Mytilus edulis: one gene and its partners. The protein of the gene in region 2 binds, or shares a complex with, the protein of the main gene of each other region. Links are inferred from orthologs where the notes say so. Each region holds a gene or a part of one and is shown on either strand. Other genes may lie near its edges. The genes, in order: U5 small nuclear ribonucleoprotein 40 kDa protein-like, U4/U6.U5 tri-snRNP-associated protein 1-like and U4/U6 small nuclear ribonucleoprotein Prp3-like.

The links.
Region 1: U4/U6.U5 tri-snRNP-associated protein 1-like (region 2) and U5 small nuclear ribonucleoprotein 40 kDa protein-like share a complex: the UniProt entries of both Homo sapiens proteins name them as parts of the U4/U6-U5 tri-snRNP complex. The link is inferred for Mytilus edulis from reciprocal best matches to the Homo sapiens genes SART1 and SNRNP40.
Region 3: U4/U6.U5 tri-snRNP-associated protein 1-like (region 2) and U4/U6 small nuclear ribonucleoprotein Prp3-like share a complex: the UniProt entries of both Homo sapiens proteins name them as parts of the U4/U6-U5 tri-snRNP complex. The link is inferred for Mytilus edulis from reciprocal best matches to the Homo sapiens genes SART1 and PRPF3.

The regions. Positions count from the first base shown.
Region 1 is NC_092355.1:11,838,040-11,845,442, forward strand, and holds the start of U5 small nuclear ribonucleoprotein 40 kDa protein-like, read right to left. Parts: upstream 5,005-7,403; 5' UTR 4,906-5,004; coding exon 4,801-4,905; intron 1,958-4,800; coding exon 1,828-1,957; intron 1,020-1,827; coding exon 926-1,019; intron 1-925. UniProt on the Homo sapiens protein: Required for pre-mRNA splicing as component of the activated spliceosome. Component of the U5 small nuclear ribonucleoprotein (snRNP) complex and the U4/U6-U5 tri-snRNP complex, building blocks of the spliceosome.
Region 2 is NC_092346.1:24,005,980-24,013,382, forward strand, and holds the start of U4/U6.U5 tri-snRNP-associated protein 1-like, read right to left. Parts: upstream 3,985-7,403; 5' UTR 3,646-3,984; coding exon 3,435-3,645; intron 1-3,434. Other genes in the region: ankyrin repeat and SOCS box protein 3-like, read left to right, coding at 6,089-6,185, 7,047-7,145. UniProt on the Homo sapiens protein: Plays a role in mRNA splicing as a component of the U4/U6-U5 tri-snRNP, one of the building blocks of the spliceosome. May also bind to DNA.
Region 3 is NC_092354.1:9,893,534-9,900,936, reverse strand, and holds the start of U4/U6 small nuclear ribonucleoprotein Prp3-like, read right to left. Parts: upstream 4,499-7,403; 5' UTR 4,387-4,498; intron 689-4,386; 5' UTR 682-688; coding exon 537-681; intron 1-536. UniProt on the Homo sapiens protein: Plays a role in pre-mRNA splicing as component of the U4/U6-U5 tri-snRNP complex that is involved in spliceosome assembly, and as component of the precatalytic spliceosome (spliceosome B complex).

The DNA of each region.
Region 1 (7,403 bases), on a different chromosome or scaffold from region 2:
ATTTCAGTAAAAGCATGACTTAATGATGCTAGTACGCGATATTTTGAGCATTGTATTGTAAAAAACAGCTCATATTTATGTAGCAGAAGCATTTTACTTTCCAAAATATAGCTTAAAGATAACATTGTCACAATTTTCTAAAACTGCTATATTTTGGGACCAAAAAGGGATCTTACTGAACCTACTCCTTTTACACCCGCAAAAATATCCCGCTATACAGTATTAATTCTTTCACTGATTATTCTATGTTAACCCAATCAAGATCTATTTCTTGAGAATTTGACACTTTACCTACCACACAGATAAAAGCACTACATCATGTACATGAGTGATCACCAACAACTTAAATAAAAAAAAAAATAATCTTGGTTCTTCAACATGTTCAAAGAGTTAATTTTGAGTTGAATCTAAGCTAGATCATGTTCTATAATACTCTTTTCATCTTCCTGAAATGATGTATCTCCACCCCATTGATTGACTTTGTGCACTATTGTTTATATTGTTAAAATCAGTTTTTATTGGTGGAGCAAGCTAGACTTTATCAATATTACTAACAACCTTCAGCTGACAATTAAGGTGGTACCCAACACTTTCACTAAAATTTATTTGGCTCGTTTAATTTTCATAAAATTTTGTAAAAGTATTTACTTTGACACTTTAACAAAAATTTTAAAATTAAAAAAAATTTGAACCAACCGTTTTGTCAGAAAATTTTGATCATTGAGAAGCTTAATATTCCCTTTACAACACAACGTAATTAAAACATTAAGCTGACTTTACAGAGTTATCTCCCTGTAGTGTTAGGTACCACCTTAAGATTAGAGTCAAACACCTCTCCCATGTGCAGGGTGTGAACTCACAATCTCAATGCCGCTAGAGATACAGTAGATGAACAAAAATCCTGGATCTTACACCATATACTCACTTTCCATCTGTAGAAAACTCTATTTGCATTACTGCTCCATTATGACCTTTTAAAACTGCAAAATTTTCACATTCACCATACACAGTCCAAAAACCTGAAAATATAGTGTAAATATCTCATTCAATATGTTTTAATAGATCTGAAAATATAAGTACTTTTTAGACACATATACTTATCCCTGTCTGTGATTTTCTTAACAAAATGGAGACAAGCAAGTTTGAAAATAGCCATTCAACAACCAAACTTAAACTGAATTCTGGTATTGTACATGTCTTACTACATGTACTAGCTAATCCTTCTTTATTTGAAAATCATGAGAAAAAACAGGCCCAATATGATGTTAGAACTTAACAGCTTGGAACTTACCAAAATTATCATTCAAAGGGAATTTGTCAACTATAAAAAAATGGGCTTTAGAATGTAAAATGTCATATATCATGTATATGCAAACTGAACCAATTCTACTGTTGAAAAAAAACCCATCTGATTACTTCATAGCATATATATATATATATATAAGTCTGAAAATTACACCAAACAGTGTTAGAGTTAGATTTTATACTGACAAATTTTTGTCCGTCCCTCAGCGGGATTCGAACTCACACCTTTGATACACTACAGCACCAATCGCTTAGCCTCATGGCCAGCCCTCTAGACCACTCGACCACATCCGCTATATAAAAATATAACTTCAATAGTCGTAGTGTTACCTTGTCACGGAAGGTGAATCTAGAGATAGACATGAGGCGTGTTTTTTAAGCGTGTGTAGATGTTATATTATATATATATACTGAATATACTTTAACATGTTTAATAAATACATGTACGTATACATATACATAAAATTGAGAATGGAAATGGGGAATGTGACATGTACATGTATATCAAGTACTTTGACTTACCAATGAGCCTATCAAAGCCTGCAGAAGCTATTAGTTGTCCATCAGGTGAGAATTTACAGGTATATATTTCTCCTTCTGTACCAGTTAACAGCATGATAGGAGCTTCTAGTCCGGACAGTCTTGGAGGACCCTACAAAAAACAGTAAACATCATGTTGGAGCTTTTTTTAGATACAATACATGTTACTTGTATGCAAATTTTTCCGCCATTACATAACATCACACAGGTTCCCATAAACTTTGAGTCACAACTAAAAAGTGATTGTTGCTTGACGTCAAAAGGTTATTCGGAGGTGACATATACAGCTAAATACCATAAGTGTAAATACGTTTATAAACATGTACATGCTGTAGGTAAATAATTTAACATGATATAAGTCATGTAAGTTACATTAGGTCATTAAAATATTTTTAAAAGAGGAATACCTGTCAGGCGACTGGTCTTTTTTTTTTCTTTAAAGACAGTGCCTAGTCAAATCTTAATGAAGCTGGGTAGTATGACTTTTGCTCTTGACTTCATCTTTTGTTAATTATGATGATTTATCCCATGTAAATTTAAACTATTCATGAAAGTATCAAGTTATTATTTTGTTACATGTACATGATGTACAATTTAAAAATGAAAGCTACATCTTCTTGAATTAAATACAAAATGTAGGATGTACATGTATGAGTACATCAAGAAGTAAAAAAAAAACAACAAAAAAAATAAATTAATAAAAGTAAAATTAAACCTTATGGTTTCACATAATCTTATACCTAGTCCCTAGCCTCACCGGACACAGTTACGAACGATTTTTGAATTTAAATTTTTTTTTTCTTTGTAGCATACTTTTCGTGAATTGTTTGTACCATAGAATTAAAGATGTATGAAGGCTTTCATTTTGAGTCATAACACACATAATTTTCTATTTACGTTTGGATACTTTAGTAAGATTTGCATGACCTGGTTTTATGGGTCTAGCAAGCCCAATATGGACGCAATTATGAAGGGCACTATATTTATATATAGATCTGGCAACCGATCTAAATTAATGAAACCTACATTAATCTTATCTTAAACACATTTCCTAAGAAAATAAGAAGTGTAATATGGTATTTTACTTCAAATTCTTCAGCAGTAGTTGCAGACAAAATTAGTGACAAAAAAAAATCTTTAAAAAGGAAATACAATGTATTTTGGATTTTTTTGTTTTTATGAAAGTTGTTTCGTCTAAGATGCACTGAATTCTCCTTTTAGTTAGTGAACCTATGATTTTAATTTATATTTAACCATTACTTTCAGAGTTCTCCGGACTTTTTATTAAAAATACTATTTTCTTCTGACAATGCCCTGGCCCCAGGGTCATGAGAGTCTGAGAAAACGTTCATTTTTGGATTATTTGGACAAGATTAAGAACATCACGCATATGAACAGATTCAGGAGATATTTTTCTATCTATATTAAGACAAAAGAAGGCAATTTGCACTAGCTAGTGTGCTTTATTCATGCAATTTCTAAGAGAGGGAGTAATTATTTTGACATTTAAGAAATTGAATTTTTCATCGTCTGCAACATTAACCAATTGCACATGAACTTTTTTTTCATGAAAACACAAGTAATGTAGTGGATTTTTTATTAATAGAATCATTTATCAATTATCATGCATAAATATTAATATCAGGGGCCAAACATTAAAAATCGTGTCCAGTCGTAATTGCGTCCAGTAAGGCTAAATAATTTGGACACCATACAGCAGATTTGCCCTAGCTTGTCTGGCGCAAAGGAGAAAATCTGCACCTTGCGACAAATTTTTTGTGCTACATTTTTAATAAAGATTTATTTAAAGTCGGTTATACATACATGTATAACAATTAAAATATTAATAGGCCTTAAGATTGAGGACCTCAGCATGCTCAGAGTAATCTGGGACTAGAATATACTATGCATGGGTCAATAGCTAGGGTAACCCTTTAGAAGGGTTAGAACTTAAATATAAAACTTTTTTAAAAAGCCGGTTTATTGGACGACAGAAATTATACCTTTATACCTTTATCTTCGGGTCGTTACATAAGCCAAAGGCTTCTACTGACCCCTCATCTTGGATTGTCGTATATGATTTCTCATCTCATTATAATATATTTATATATAATAAGACTCTCTACATTTTATGTTTTTATCATAACGACCCTGCATACCCTCGGGTATCCACTTTATGGACTCTACCGTACTACAGACTCACCAGGCGTTGGTTCACTTTCGTTTGTAATTGATTTATATATAATATATTAAACTTATCAAAAAATACTTATTTAGGTGTGCGCAGCTGAAACACTTAACACGAACATATGAATTTATATAGGTTCCAATTTACGCCATTTAATGCAGACTTAAAACTATTCAGAGTCTTTGCCGTCACCGTTAAATCTGACAGGTTATTCCACTGATCCACTACTCTAATTGAAAAAGTATTTAGTCTATGTGTGGTCTTACACTGTTTTTTTAAAAAGTTTTAATGAGTGACCTCTAGTATTATTAGATGGTGCTAAAGTAAATAGGCTCATCCAGTCGATGTCATCTATACCATGCAACGCTTTGTAGACTTGTATCATATCATTCCTATCCCTACGATATTCCAAAGTTGGCAAACCCAATGAACGTAACCTGTCTTCATAATTAAGATGACAATTATTTTTTAACAGCTTTGTGGCCCTTCTTTGTACAGATTCCAATTTGCGAATGTCTTTTTTAAGATACGGTGACCAGACGCATGTCGCATATTCTAGCAGTGGACGAACTATTGATTTATAAATAGTAAGAAACATATCTTGATCCATGTAATCAAAAGAATGATTGATAAGAGACAGCACTCTTTGGGCTTTGTTATAAATATCACTTATATGTTTTTCAAATTTCAAATTAGACTCGAAAGTTACTCCCAGATCCTTTTCTTCGTTCACTGTAGATAATGCAATAAAATTTATAGGCAATTACCATCTGCAATACTGATTTTTCTTGAGACCCATAGGCTACCAGATCTGTTCTTGGCTTTTTAAAAGGGACCATGGCACTGTCTCCTGCTTTTCGTTTGATGTCCATTGTTATTTAAACAACGGAGTGGGAAAATGTAAGAGTATTTTTGTTTTCAACAAAATCACGCCGAACAGAAGGAAGTTGTACAGACCACACTAAAAGTTTATTCACAGCCGGAATAGGTTTCCGGGATTTCTCTGCCGCAATTATGAACAACTCGTCCCATTATTAAATCGCCCTAGGCCTACTCGACCAACATATGTCAAACTCGTCCACTTTTTATAAACTCGACCTTATTTAGATGTTTTCTGATTTCACATGATACAGACACTTAAGACAGACAAACCTGCACACTCGACCAAATTATATTAAAAAAAAGAAGAAAAGGATAAATATAGTTCGAAAAGTGTAGATATACAACTTCCATTTTTTAGGATACATTTTAACATTTTATTTCTTGATAATTTATGCATTAAATATTAAGTACGGGGATGAAATTGCCTGTTAAAAAATGGGTGCTAAATCTTTATGATAAGTAGTGATTTGATCCAGTAAAAAAAAGGTCAAAAATTAGTACGTCTAAAGCTATATATATCAAACTGAATTTTAAACCCCTAAACACAGAATTGTCAATATTTTGAGTAAGAGTTGGTAGAACTTTCTATAACTTTGTTATCATTTGTCTACTTAGTAAAACACTACACTGTAACAATCTTATTGAGATAGAGCAGGTTCGATTTTTTTAATTTGAATTTATTGTCTAAAAGAAGTGCACTACGGAATATCTGTGTTCTCGGGCCATTTTAAGTACCGCTGAAACAAAATCTAACAAATCACCCAAACTATGACATCATCTGCAGATAATATGAATAAGAATAGATAACAAAGCATATCATAATATACAGCTGAAACAAGAACTGTCTATCATAATGAGCTGCGCCATCTGCGCATGATGCACCTGTCACTATTTTAGCTCTTCGAACAAGGTTTCATAAATCAGCTATGTCAAATCAGACCAATAAATCTCCAAAGTTTTATGGAAACTGTTTTCAGTTATTGTCCGGTAGCTGGAAAGTTCCCCCTTTTTTATGAATAAAGTTCAAATACTCCAAAACGTTAATTCAGATTCGTTTTTAAAATCGAACGAGAAAATTGTGTCAATTATATGTATATGTATATACTAAAGTATAAACGATTCTCTAAGTTTCGTGAAAATTGCTCAAAGCATTTTTGACTTATAGTAAAACAAGAATGTGTCCATAGTACATGGATGCCAAAATCGCACTATTATTTTCTATGTTCAGTGGACCGTGAAATTAGGGCCAAAACTCTGATTTGGCATTAGCAAGATCATATCATAAGGAGCATGTGTACTATTAAGTTTCAAGTTGATAGGACAAAAAGTACCTTGACGGAAAATTTCAACCTGAAGCGGTACAGACAGGCGGACGGACAAACGAACGAATGGACAGTCCAGAACAGATAATGCCCATAAATGAGGCACAAAAACTGGAAAAAAGATTTTTTTTACGATTTATAACTCGGAAACTTTAACTTTGCGTTATTGTCTGGTGTGTTGACGTCAGCCAACAGAAGGACAAATGGATGGGCGAACAACGGTATACCACAAGATATTCTTTAAAAGGACGTTTAAAGGTTCTCCGAAATTATAGATGTTTTTACAGATTTTTTTTTTATAATTGTTTTTTTCTTCTTGAATTTATAAGTATCAACATTTATTTATCTTGTGGCACAATAAGCAAGCAAAAGAAATAAATATAAGCATAATAAGCATTCTATGATTTTATAGATATAAATATCTATATCTCCGCCCGTCTTATCGAACTGATTGAAAAATGCAAAGAAGGCAATACAAAATTTAAAGTAGAAAAAAAAACCACGTGTGAAACATATATGAGAGAAAGAAAAGCTCTAAAACACTAGTCCACCTTCTTAAAAGTATACCAGTGTAACGATCAGTTGCAGCTCCAGAACTTTTTATAAAGGGGGTGGGGTGGGGCACTCACTGACAAAAAAGGGGCGACACTATAGTTTCCCCACGAAGGGAGGAGACTCAGAGCCCCCTAGAGTCGCCTCTGAAGATTAAGTATTTCATTTGTTTGATTAGAATTCAGGTAATATCAATGAAGTGCCTTTCCTAATGGATTTTTTAATCGTTTTCTTGCATTTACTTTGATTCTATTTTAAAAAGACGTCCTTTAACCATCTCAGTAGCATATATTAATTAGTATCAATTACCAATTCAAAATACTTGAAGTTGTTCAATCAAATTTTGCAATTTTCACAGCTTTCTCAACATTTTACTTCAATTCTAACTTCATATAAACCAGATATATCCTGAGTTGTGCATGTACCACCTTAATTTCTACATGCCAATTTTCAATCAATACCTTTTTTTTTGCATTTTTGCATTTTATGTTAACTGTTTTTTTTCCAAAATCGAGGTGTTGTTAACATGTTAACGGGACAACTATTGACCCCCCCCCCCTTATATCATTATTTATTCAGCGAAATGTCACCTTTCCAATGCCTACTGTTTCTAC
Region 2 (7,403 bases):
GAAAATCATTATGATGGTCAATTTTGAGGTTTATTATATATTCTAATTAATAAATAACTCAATAGTGAAACATCTGATGGCAATAAGCAGGTTTACTGTTATCACATCTTTAAAACACCTGTTGTAAATGTTTATTAGCTGAGGCTCATAAACATGTCACAAAAATTTTTATAGTATTTTCATGGAAAATGATTTTACACAAAAAGTGACGAAATTGATGTGAAATACTTTTGTCATTTGGAAAACAGGTTGTAAATAATGAAAAATTATTAGCTCTAGCAAAATCACTGCTTAACCCTGTGTCAACGTATATTTGTTCCACCTAGAACAAAAGTTCCACTGGAACTGTAATAAACAATGTCATAATACCTGTACCAGTTGGAACAAATATTCTATACCATTTATTCCGTTAGGAACATATACTGTAATATTTATTCCTGTGGAAATAATATTCCAGAATATTTCTTCCTTTAGGAACTTATATTATGAAGGACCTTCTATTCCGTGACACCTCTAGCTGCAGAAACATTTTAAAGTTGCATTATGTGTGCCAGAAACTTGATGTCAGTAACGTCTCATGCCCAACAATGACGTAACACCCTAATGACTATTACATTACGGAGGGAGGGTTGTAGGGGTCCTGATCCCAAAATCACAGGCTTAAAAACATGAAATTTAAAAAAAAATAATCCAGACATCCCTAAAATTGTAAAAAATAAATCCCGGATCCCGAAACGTTCAATCCCGAAAGCCCTAGCTTAAAAACACCTGATCCCCACGTCCTGCCCCCCTCATTTTGAACCTCTAAAGACATATATAACACAATGTTTAATCTTGAGGATTTTATCTGAAAGAGATAAAGCAAGAATGAGAAATTTGCATAAATTCAAACATGAACTAGAGGCTCTAAAGAGCCTGTGTCGCTCACCTTGGTCTATGTGAATATTAAACAAAGGAAGAAGATGGATTCATGACAAAATTGTGTTTTGGTGATGATAATGTGTTTGTACATCTTACTTTACTGAACATTCTTGCTGCTTACAATTATCTCTATCTATAATGAACTAAATTGACTATAAAGGACAATAACTCCTTAGGGGGTCAATTGACCATTTCAGTCATGTTGACTTATTTGTAAATCTTACTTTGCTGTACATTATTGCTGTTTAAAGTTTATCTCTATCTATAATAATATTCAAGATAATAACCCAAAACAGTAAAATTTCCTTAAAATTACCAATTTAGGGGCAGCAACCCAACAACGGGTTGTCTGATTCATCCGAAATTTCAGGGCAGATAGATTTTGACCTGATAAACAATTCAACCCAATGTCAGATTTGCTCTAAATGCTTTGGTTTTTGAGTTATAAGCCAAAAACTGCATTTTACCCCTATGTTTTATTTTTAGCTATGGCAGCCATCTTGGTTGGATGGCCAGGTCACCGGACACATTTTTTAAACTAGATACCCCAAAGATGATTGTGGCCAAGTTTGGATTAATTTGGCCCAGTAGTTTCAGAGAAGAAAATTTTTGTAAAAGATTACTAAGATTTACGGAAAAATGGTTAAAAATTTATTATAAAAGGCAATAACTCCTAAAGGGGTCAACTGACCATTTCGGTCAAGTTCACTTATTTGTAAATCTTACTTTGCTGAACATTATTGCTGTTTACAGTTAATCTCTATCTATAATAATATTCAAGATAACCAAAAACAGTAAAATTTTCTTAAAATTACCAATTTAGGGGCAGCAACCCAACAATGGGTTGTTGGATTCATCTGAAAATTTGAAGGCAGATAGATCTTGACCTGATTAACAATTTTACCCATTGTCAGATTTGCTCTAAATGCTTTGGTTTTTGAGTTATAAGCCAAAAACTGCATTTTACCCCTATGTTCTATTTTTAGTCATGGCGGCCATCTTGGTTGGTTGGCCGGGTCACGCCACACATTTTTTTAAACATGTTACCCCTATGATGATTGTGGCCAAGTTTAGTTTAATTTGGCCCAGTAGTTTCAGAGAAGAAGATTTTTGTAAAAGATTACTAAGATTTACGAAAAAATGGTTAAAAATTGACTATAAAGGGCAATAACTCCTAAAGGGGTCAACTGACCATTTTGGTCATGCTGACTTATTTGTAAATCTTACTTTGCTGAACATTATTGCTGTTTACAGTTTATCTCTATCTATAATAATATTCAAGATAATAACCAAAAACAGCAAAATTTCCTTAAAATTACCAATTCAGGGGCAGCAACCCAACAACAGGTTGTCCAATTCATCTGAAAATTTCAGGACAGATAGATCTTGACCTGATAAACACTTTTACCGCATGTCAGATTTGCTCTAAATGCTTTGGTTTTTGAGTTATAAGCCAAAAACTGCATTTTACCCCTATGTTCTATTTTTAGCCATGGCGGCCATCTTGGTTGGTTTGCCGGGTCACGCCACCCATTTTTAAAACTAGATATCCCAAAGATGATTATGGACAAGTTTGGATTAATTTGACCCAGTAGTTTCAGAGGAGAAGATTTTTGTAAAAGATTACTAAGATTTACGAAAAATGGTTTAAAATTGACTATAAAGGTCAATAACTCCTAAAGGGGTCAACTAACCATTTTGGTCATGTTGACTTATTTGTAAATCTTATTTTGCTGAACATTATTGCTGTTTACAGTTTATCTCTATCTATAATAATATTCAAGATAATAGCCAAAAACAGCAAAAATTCCCAAAAATTACCAGTTCAGGGGCAGCAACCCAATAACGGGTTGTCGCATTCATTTGAAAATTTGAGGGCAGATGGATCTTGACCTGATAAACAATTTTATCCCATGTTAGATTTGCTCTAAATGCTTTGGTTTTTGAGTTATAAGCCAAAAACTGCATTTTACCCCTATGTTCTATTTTTAGCCATGGCGGCCATCTTGGTTGGTTGGCCGGGTCACGCCACACATTTTTTAAACTAGATACCCCAATGATGATTGTAACCAAGTTTGGTTTAATTTGGCCCAGTAGTTTTAGAGGAGAAGATTTTTGTAAAAGTTAACGACGACGGACGACGACGACGACGACGGACGACAAGTGATGGGAAAAGCTCACTTGGCCCTTCGGGCCAGGTGAGCTAAAAATGTGACTTCGGATCGGCACAGCACATAGTCATCAATAAACCTTATCGCTAATCCCGGCTGACCCGGCCGCTTGAACTTTTGACGCATACAACAATCACTTTTCCATTGTGGCGTCAGCTATTTTGTTTTATGACGTCAAAATTTTATGGGAACCTGTGTGATATCCAGTAATGGCAGACAAATGGGGATAAGGTGTATATAATTTATGATGGAGTGCGGAAACTGAAAATAGAAGACACTCGGCAGTAAGGGAAATCAGAAAATAATTTTACATAGATGGAAGCCAAATTTCTTGACACCTACCAACATCTGCTAGAACTTTTTGTAGTGGTGCTCGATTGTAGTCATCATAGTTTTCATCATATCCTTCGTGAGTGTATTCTTGTTCATCTTCATGTGGTTTGTTGTCTTTTCGACTGTGTTTATGTCGCTTTCGTTCTCTCGATCGAGATCTGTGACGGTGTTTTCTTTTGTGTTCACGGTCCTTTTCTTTGTGTTTTTTAGACGACCCCATGACGGAATATACACTTGAGATCTACAGCATTAATGGGTAAAAACAGATATTTATTTACGATTTCTGTTCGTTGAATTACCGGAAGTTAAAAAAAACTACAGTAAAGTGTATAAAATAATGTTTTATAATGGGTTATGCCAAACTCAAAAGCGTCTTCTATAAAACAAATAAAAAACATAATTCCATAAATGGTTAGTATATCTAAGAATATATATTCAAAACTACAAATTGCAAAATATATTAAACATAAACGAACACTTTAATGTTCTATGAATGGTAAAGCTAATAACCCGGTCTACAGACAGACCATTTTGTGAGATGTGGAAAATCCATACAAACTAAAAGTAAAGTTGCTGTCTGACAAAAATAATGCATGCAATATGAATTCTCTTATTAAGAATATGAGAGGAACAAATAGCAATGATCAGAAAGAGCATTCAACTTTATCCCTTTTGACTCTACATGCTCTTCTCAAAAACCTATAGAAGGTTACAAATAAAAAGGTAAATTTGACAACTGGACTTTCATTTTTATACAGTACTTAATGAGGATAGGAATACCCATTACCGTCAGCCATCAAACGTTGTGATTTGTCAAAATATCTGTATCATGGTTCTTTAGAGGTCTTAAATGATAATCATTAATGTTATTTTTGGAAAAAAATAACGTGATTCTTAAAAATTTGTCATTTTTTAATTGTCATGCACCAAAAATTAATGTTGACATCATTTGACAAGTTTTTTTACTGTTATAAGTCACGAAGGTACCCGATTACAACTCTTCGTAATAGACAATGATGAAAGAATTTAGTCATCAGATGAAAAGATAAATAAAACAAGCTAATAATTATGGCTCATTCATTCAGTAAGTTTATCTGATTAAATCTGTTTTTCAGATATGAGGGGGGGTAGGAGGGGTCCTGATCCCAAAATCCTGGGTTTAAAAACACGAAATCCCGAAATTCCGGGCTTAAAAATATGAAATGCCGAGGTCCCGAAATTCGAAAAAATAATTCCTGGATCCCGAAAGGGTCAATCCCGAAATCCCGAGCTTAAAAACACCCGATCCTGGAGTCCTGATAAAGGTCCTATCCCCCCTCAGATATTATAAGCAATAGTAAGACTTTTATTAGTGTATGGTGTTCATACTACTCGTCTATATGATCATTACCTCATTTACATCGAGCATTGATAATGCAAAGTTGATATGAAAGTTTATGTTAAAATCTTAATTTTAATTTTATTAAATTGCAGTCATCTCTAACACTGACCCATATGACCGCACTTTTAAATATCAGTCTGCCAGTCATCATAAAAATCACCATAAAGTATATTAATGATTGTTTTTTTATTGAGAACATCTGTAATATTTATATTTCTTTTTATAATAGGTATCCTAATTTTTGTTTTTTGTTCATGAACATTAAAATGTGTTTTAAAACTGTCTGAAAACACACATATTTATAGGTTTTTACCCTGTGAATATACCACTGTCACTCTAATATAATTATAGTCAATTTATCTATTGTCAATTTATTGTTTCAATACTGTATGCCATAACCATGATAACCATTTAATGTAAATGTGTTAGTGCTAATAAATATTGTCTATTGTCTATTGTGATACGGTGTAAACCTTTATCTTTAAGACTTCAACATACTGTGGATTAATAATTATTTGTGGGATACCAATTTTCGAGGATTTTGTGAGTACAGGCAAACCATGAAATTAAATGTTCAATGGATGATAAAATTTTATGTAGGCTTGTATGGCATGTATGCAGACTTCATCAAAACCACAAAATTAAATATGCAAGCTTTCCTTAATCTAGAAAAATAGGTACCCTCGAAAATATATGAATTCAGAGTATATATTTTGTTTATTGTGCCCAACATTTTCAGTTTACAGACAAATTTATTTTTATTCTGATGACAGATGCAGTACAACAGTAAACTAGATTTTTTTTCATTTACAAATCATTTACACATTGCTTCATTTGTTATCATTTGTTGAAAGTTATGGTTATCAAATAAATTGTCTTTGATCTTGTTTTTTATGAACAATGTGCTGTTATTTTAAAAATTTCTTAATTTATGACAATCTGATTGAAATACAGAGTATGTATAAAAGAAGATGTTGTATGATTGCTAATGAGAAAACTTTCCACAAGAGACCTGGTGCCCAAATGTTACAGAAATTAACAACTTTAGATCACTGTAAGGCCTTCAACAATGAGAAAAGGCCATACCGCACAATCAACTATAAAAGGCTCTGTACACATAAGAATTTCTAAGACACAAATTTGTTTATTAAGAAAAAATGTACTCAAATACCAGAAATGACTACCGGTAAGCTATTGTGACATGTGAAGATACAAATGTATAAATACATGTAACATGTGAACATCTACTTCCATTTTTTCATTCTGATAGATTTGGTATGTAATGGATTTCAATGAAACCTATCAGGACACATGTTCTTCAGTAGGAATAGCAGCTCGTAATGGTGACCTTGGTCTGGTACAACAGTTAGTTTGGCATGGTATGTTTTTTTTAACAGCAATACTTCAAGTACTAATTATTGAAAAATCTTAAGGTATTTTTCTTCTGATCCGAGTTGCTGTTGACTTACTAATTAACCGTTGGTATGTTGTCTCCTAGAATTTTCAGTTTTGTATGAAGATGTCTCATTGAATAAATAATCTTACATCTCCAATTATTCATACCTAGAAAATTTAATAATAAAGAGTTGTGGTATGATTGTCTATTAACAAAAGCTGCCACAAAAATTGTTTGACAAGATATACACATGATTTAAAATGCCTTCACATTTAGAGGTTATGATTCTGTTTTCAAAAATGAATAGAGATACCTGAAGAAAAGCCATAAAACGACTTGTTAACGTCTTGTTAACTAAATGTTACATTACAGCAGCAAATAAATACCAGATCACATTTATTTACAAAAGCAAACCCCAAACTAAAACTTCATTGATCAAATGTATGGATTTGTTATTAAAGGCCTCAATGAAAATTACTCAATTTTTAAGTTCATATTCCTTAAATAATATATGTACTGTAGAAGTTACAGTACATATATTATTTAAGGAATATGAACTTAAAAATTGAGTAATTTTCATTGAGGTTACAGTACATATATTATTTAAGGAATATGAACTTAAAAATTGAGTAATTTTCATTGAGGCCTTTAATAACAAATCCATACATTTGTAGACATTCAAGAACAAAATAGAATATTTAAAATTATATACAATGATTTATTCCCAATTTTACTCAATTTTTTTTTTAAATTTAGCCACCTAGAAAAAGTCTACTTGTGATAACTCACATACTTATTATAAGTTGTGATTTTAAGGTATTTTATATATGAAATGATGTTTCAGGTCGTCTAGTAGATGTACGAGACAACAGAGGATGGACACCAATACATGAGGCTGCTGCTAATGGACACACTGGCTGCTTGGATTTTTTACTGAGGCTAGGTAGTTATCTATTACTTTGTACAGTTAGGAAAAAATAAACTATAAGGAAGGGAATGCATGTTTACTTTTTTATTTGAATTTACATTATAAAGATGGTTGGCTGATTAAATATACTTTTGTTGTACAATTCATCTGCTAATTAATAATGAAATCATTTATGACAGTGACCTTAATTTTTTTTACTGCATTCACTTTAAAAATGGAATACAACCCTCACTGAGAAGTCTATATAACATGAATTTTGACCTGTTGATAAAT
Region 3 (7,403 bases), on a different chromosome or scaffold from region 2:
CAACGCATATACATGTACTTGTATCTTCATTTTATTTAAAGTTTAAAACTAATAAAAATTTGATAACATTTAATGGCTTTAACTTGTCATGGGGACTCTAAAATAGAAAACTAATTATAAAGCAATAATTTTTTCCCTGTTGGGCTGACCATGGACAAAAATGACGACACCCTAATGAAAACTCTGACAAATACATGAAATTCATGAATAGCTTTGTTTCTTTTTTCATATCCTTTGTCTATACAATTCAATGTTGCGGTAACAAGTCTTTGCTCTTAAAACCTTTAGTTATCTTTCTGAATTCTTTGATTACCTTTAGTTATTCCCATTTATTCTTTGATTACCTCCCTTTTGTGTTTTAATATTACTTACAAATAGTTTTGTCTCTTTCATATATCCTTTGTCTATACAATTCAATGCTGCAGTAACAAGACTTTGCTCTTAAAACCTTCAGATATCTCCCTTTATTCTTTGATTACCTTTAGTTATGTCCCTTTATTCTTTTATTACCTCCCTTTTGTTTAAAAATTACTTACGAATAGCTTTGTCTCTTTCATATCCTTTGTCTATACAATTCAATGCTGCAGTAACAAGACTTGGCTCTGAAAATCCCAGAAATTTGTTGACAGTCCCCTCCAACTGGGATTTCATATCATCCCATTCTCTACGGGATAAAGACATTTTCTCTCTGCAAAATAACAATCAAAGCACTGTAAGCGCTGTAGGCAGTTAACAAAAACCAAGGCAAATGTAATTATGAGAGACAATTACACTGTGACTTGCTTACCATCCCATTCTCTTCGTGATAACAACATTTTCTTTCTGCAAAATAGCAAAAAGACAATAGACATCTTTCAAGCTCGTTGCATTTCCGTCAAATAGTTTGGTTTTAATTAACATCATTCATGCAATTAGGGGCATTATCACTGCTTTCATAAGGGTATTGTGATGAAGTACCTTAGGGACAAACATTATTTATAGGTTATCCTGCACAATGATGATAACTAAGACGCTTGGTGAGCGTTAATAGTGCAGGGATACAGGCTATCAGCCTCTATCTTGTAAATGATGTCAATTAGGCGCGCATAATTGACGATTTTATTTTGGTGAAGGACAAACTAGAAAGTGGTCCCCAACACTATCACTTGTTTATCATCCCATGATTCTCTACGTGATAAAGATATTTTCTATTTCCAAAATAACAAAATGACAATTCCACTATGACTTATTTATGTCAGAGCTCTTGACAGTAAAAAACATACAAAAAACTATTCTACCCGTATACCTCAAAGAAAGGGGTAAAAATAATATTTGGTGTTGAATTGAATAACCAAATGCCAAAATGACTTTAAATAATATATAGTACATTTATCTATCACACCAAGGGACTCAAATTACAATCCCATCACCCCCACCCCCACCTCATTATACTCTAATGATTGATGAAATCTGCATTTTTATATAAATTCCAATCCTTGACTAGGTTATTTTTCAAATCGTGTAAGTGCTGGTTTGACATTGTTGACCAAGTGTCAATTTGACTTTTGCTATATTTGTTCTATAGGTGTAAATTTGATGTGTACCAAATTAACCTTAACACCTGCCTAATATAATCAAAGTGCTTGAAAGCACTGAATGGTAAAGATTACTTCAATTTATCAGTGGGAAGTAAAATTAATTATTACATTGTTGTAGTTGATTTAAAAGCAATTCTAGACAAAGGAAAGAGAACACCAATTTAAAAAAAAATGATGTTAACAATGACATCATTCTTTTTTTATAACAGATATTAGATTCACAATTCATGCACTTTGCAAATGTTACATGTATATAATTTTCTTGACTAGTGTATCAATATTTTGTGCCTTGAATATCTGAGCATACATGTATATAATCATAAAGTTCTTGAAATGTTGACGGATAGGATGTATAGAATGTTTTTGATCATGTTGATCAATGCACTTGATTTTTTTGTATAAAAAAAAGTAGTGACAAGCCTTTGAACATTTAGATACATGTATCAAGTCAGTCCTATAAGGTTTTGATTGCATTTCATGCTATCTTTACCTAAAAATATACTGTTTATAATCTAACGACTTGTGCTTTTTCACAGATGTCAAAATTTAAATAACTTCAATTCACAAATAAGAATTTTCACTTAGGCGAGTCCATGAGTCGTGGACTCATAAAAATCTGTCTGGACACACCATTTTTAAAATTGGTGAGTCCAAAAAAAGATGAATAAAGAAATATTGTGTATAAACTGAACAAATGTATCCTCATTTTATACCCAAAGTTTAAAAGTAGTCTGAATTTAATGTTTTTTCATTACCCTATAAGGTCATAGAGACTAAAATAATAAATTATATTGCAATAATATATCTTCTTCTTACAATGGAACTCACCATGTCCAAAAATGACAAGTCCCTGCACTCGCCTTCAAAAATTCTTAGCAAGAACCCTGACAAATCCTATCCTCATCTCTCTAGAATGACACCAGGTCAACTGGGGCAGTTTATTCATAAAATCAAAATTGGAACTCCATATTTGATGTACACCATCCCTAAGTGATATTGTTGGCTTTTTTCAAAACTATCTCTACCTTTTTTTTATTGGGAAATATGCATCATTTTTATCAAATTGGGAAATTTATAATAAACCATAAATTTGACTGGAACTTCAAGTTGTAGATCCCCTTTCAAGAGGTAAACCCTCATTTGAAATAAGACCCCTTATTATCAGTGATGACACATAAATAGACCCTCAAATATGAATATATTGTCATTTTAGGCATAAAAAACGTATAAACATGATAAATGGGTGTATTTCAGTTTGTATTCATGCACAATTACTACTGACATTATTATGAAAAATAACTCTACAAATTCTGTGAAAAATTTGTCTTTTTGGGAATAATTTTTAGCCATTTTTTTTTCAAATTGGAATTCTTCTCCAGGGGAAAAAGCCTTTATTCTCCAGTAATTTAAGGCAAACAATATCACTGATTAGTCATTGGTATATGTGATAGATACATAACCAGCCATAACTTGCAGTCTTCACATTAAACCACATGTCCTACAGCCATGGCTTGTAAAATTGTTGTTGAGCTTGTGAAGTTCTTTTCTACAAGCCAACAGAATCCAACTAAAAATTTGGTAAAAATGAGTTTTGGGCTTGTGGATTCAAATGTTTATTGTGAAAACAGCATAAGCGACTGAGCTAGTGAAGTACTTCAATAGCTCAGTGGATATACATGCTCACTCAAGGCTCCTGGGTTCAAGTACCAGAGGAGACAAACATCAACGATAATTATATGGGGACGAAGTCCCAAATTACGGTAGAAAAATCAATAAAAAAAAAAAAAAAATCAAGAAAATTTCCTGAATTTTTCATTCTACTAATGAACTCAAAATCGTTAACTTTTTTTTCAGATCTACTTCCTGTTCCGGTTTTCTCCGCTTTTGCGCAGATATCTGTCTTGTTTGCATGAGACTTTGAAAAAAATTATATTTATCAGTCTAGTAAAATATAAGATTGGATCTCAATACCAATTCAATTTTAATAATTGTTTGATATGAAAAAACGTTACCTGATGAAAGCGTTTCTTTTGTGTACATCGAATATGACGTCATAACTTATAGAACGTCACAGCTAATTCCCTAACAACAGAATCAAAATCGGGAACGTTACGTACGGTATTTCGGTTTCTTTTATCAACGTGATTGAATTAAAAAATAATACATACAGTCTACAGACTTCGTCCCCATTCACAGGTTATGCCTGCCTCATATTAGAAAAAGAATCATGCTCTACAATTACATTGTTGCCCAACAATAAAATCATGGTTAAAAAAGAATAACCCTGCCAGGAAAGTTACATAAAATGAATATAGAGAAGTTCTTCTTGAGCATGTTGAGTTCAGTCAGTAAATACATTGTCTTGTATCACAGAGGTCCCTGAATAGTAAGTAAGTATTAAAGTAAGTAAGTAAAACTTTATTTGGATTCGGCATATTGACAAACAGTACAAACATAAGCTCTAAATATTATGAGCTTGAGTCCTAGGGAGACCAAGATGATTTTATATTCATTGTAAGGAGAAACATGTTTTCCGTTTACACATGAAAGGTACAATTATTACTAAAGTATTAACTCAAATTCTTATTGTATTTTGAATAAGAGTTATTTTTCATAATGATGTCAAATATAAAAATAATTGATGGCCATACAAAAAAAATGTAAAATATCAAATATACAGAAATTATTCCAAGGAAAACTTGTTACTGTGGTTTTCGTTTTACAAATATCAGCATTTGGATAGTTATTTATTTATATAGACTTCATTATTTCAACCTGAATTATATGATGCACTGACATGTTTACTTACAGTATTTTATATTTTTTAACAGTATTTTGGAAAAAAAGATCGTGTTATTATCGAAATGCTAGCCGATCCTTCTTGAAACGGACACGCTGATTGGTTGACAGGGATGTTTCGACCAATTGAAATTACTTACACAACAACAAACTATATAATAAATAAAACAACACGGAAAAGCAAGTTCCGGGATTTGCGCAAATTAATAAGGATAATGATGTTAGAAAATTAAAGAGAAAAGTAAACTTTATGAATAAAGTAAATTCATTATTTTTTATTAAATGTAAAGGGGGGGGGGGGGGGGGGGGCGGCGGTGTGTAACACTTATCAATTCAAAGTTTTAAAAAGTTTTGAAATCTTAGATTTTTGGAATTTTGATCAATGTTTTTAAAAAATATCAAAAATCCCAATTGTGTAAAAGTTTTGAAATTTTGAAATTTTAACCAAATAATTAAAATATTAAAATTCTAAATATCGTTTAAAAATTTGATAGTTTAGTAATTTGGTCAAACTTTCAAAATACTAAACCTAACGTGCAATTTTGATTATCTCACTTTCAGTTGAAAGTTTGATTTTTATATTTTTGATTAAGATATCAAAATAGAAAAGGGGCGAAAAGAGGGGTACTTATAAACTGTGAAACGAAATAGAAGCGTTTTCTTACGCTCAAATTGAGACTAAGAACAAATATTAGTAGCTTGGAGCCAAGATACTGTTATAAGGTATATATCAACATAACCTCATCATTGATAGATACCAGGTGTCCTGGTCCAGGACATGTGCGTAGCTACGTTTACGTCAAAAGGTCTCAAAACGTCCGGGCGTACTCTTGAATTTGTTAAAAAAAAATCATATAAATAGAAATAAAAGAATTGGTTAACAGTACATTAACCTTTTATGTCTCTCTCCAATGGCTTGCAAATGCGAATAAAAGTGACGAAAATTAGTATCATATTATTTCTGTCAAATTCTAAATCTACCGTTAATTCTATACTTATCTCCTTTATTTTTTTAAGCAATTCATTATGAGCTTGGATTCGATATGTGGTTTTCATTTCTTGTCGAGCCATTGACATTTATGTCGCGAAAGCGAGCTATTTTGATCGTAAATTTCGTCGGCGGTACCAAAATGATAACTATGTACACTCATGCAGGTTCATTATGTTCTTTTAGTTTTAAGATATATCAATAACTTTGTCAAACATTTGTGAAATTTTACGGTAGCTGGACAAAAACTGTGTATGCACAAACGAGTATCCAGAGCATAATATCGAAATTATACATATATGATAAGTTTTCCCATATTTTATAGAAAAAGAATAATTTCTTTTTGCACTTAGTCTAACGTTAAAATCAATTACATATCAATTACTTTGTTAAACCTTCGTCGAATTCAATTAAACTTCATTGAAGTGGTTTTTTTTCATGGTTAATTTCAGAAACCAATTTTTTTTTCGTTTATTTTTCAGATTTTTTTGCAATTTAAGTCAGACGATCTGGCCACCGTTAAATCACATATTCTAATGCAACAACGTTTGTAACGTTCATTTTGATTGGATAACGTCACTTTCTTACATGGCTTCAATTGACAATTGATGCTATGGGACGTACGCGCAAGCGCAGACGGCATATGGCAGAATTTAAATACATGTTTTAACGTTGTTTTCTGTCAGTTTCATTAGAATGGAGATAACAATATTGTATTTTAAGCTCCGACGGCATCAATTTGGGATTTGATGGTCGCAAATGCCCGTTTACTGTCTCCGCTAACGCGTCGCCAGTAAACTTAATTTGCGACCATCAAATCCCCAATTGATGCCGTCGGAGCTTAAAATACAATACAGTTATCTCCTAATTGCACAGAGAGGCAAGCTGTCAAATACTTGTAAGACCTAGTAACGCTGCTACATCAGATGCAGAAGCCATCGCTCTGCTATGTTCAATTTCAGATGAAAACATTTTATGAAAGAAGTCGAGAACACTTTTCTGCGATTGATCCATCTTGTTTTCATAAAGTAAAATAATCCTAAATGAAAGACCACGCATACTGCTTCGGTAATGAATGAAGGTTATCCACGGCTCCCTTTAATCATATTTAAGAATTGAATGCTTCTTTTTGTAAATTTATTGGGGTGTAAAAGCGTTGACCGAAGTACATTTTTTATTCCGCGCTTCATTCTAAAAATGTGTGCACGGTCAACGCTTTTACAACCCTATAAAGTTACAAAAAGAAGCATTCAATACTTATAATTACATTTTTTAGCTATGATCATGAAAACACGAATTTTATATATTTTTTTATTTAATTCACCTGTGCACTTTATTGTTGGACCACGTGTTATCATGAATGAAAAGTTGTATTGAGCATTGCAACTGCTTACGGAATAACACGTGATGTGCATGCAGTTAGCCAATCAGAATAAAGTATTATAATGAAACATACATCTAATGTAATTATTTTAAGGTAACTGGTTTGGACGTTTACTCCAAATTAAGCCAAAGACCGCCATTATCTTCTAAATAGATTTTAAACACAATGAATAGAATAAACATAGAAAATAAATTATTTTGAATCTAAAAAATGTTGTTATTGATGAGTTTTCAATGACAGGAATTTTATGACATTCTCGATAACTCTAAAACTTCCGGAGGCTTGTCCCGGCTTATCAACTTCCAGCAGGTTCTTTGGCATGGAACCGCTTTTCCGAGGTTCGGGCATACACGTAAAAATGATCTAGCTACGACACTGACAATCAACTTTGAGCAAAGTAAAGGAACACAGGTATGTCCAGTCAGAATGGGACATGATGCATGATGGATCTTTCCATTTTTGGCCATACACCAATGTTACTCTCGAAAAACCAGTACAATGTAAAATGCTGAATTTTAAGTCACCTACGGAAAGCTGCAACTAATTATTTGAAAGTCAAGTATTTATAAGAACCGAAACAATTGAAGAGGTGTTTGGCCAAAGTGAAGGTAAACGTAACAAAATCCATCTATAAGGGCTACTTTGCCCGAGAGAG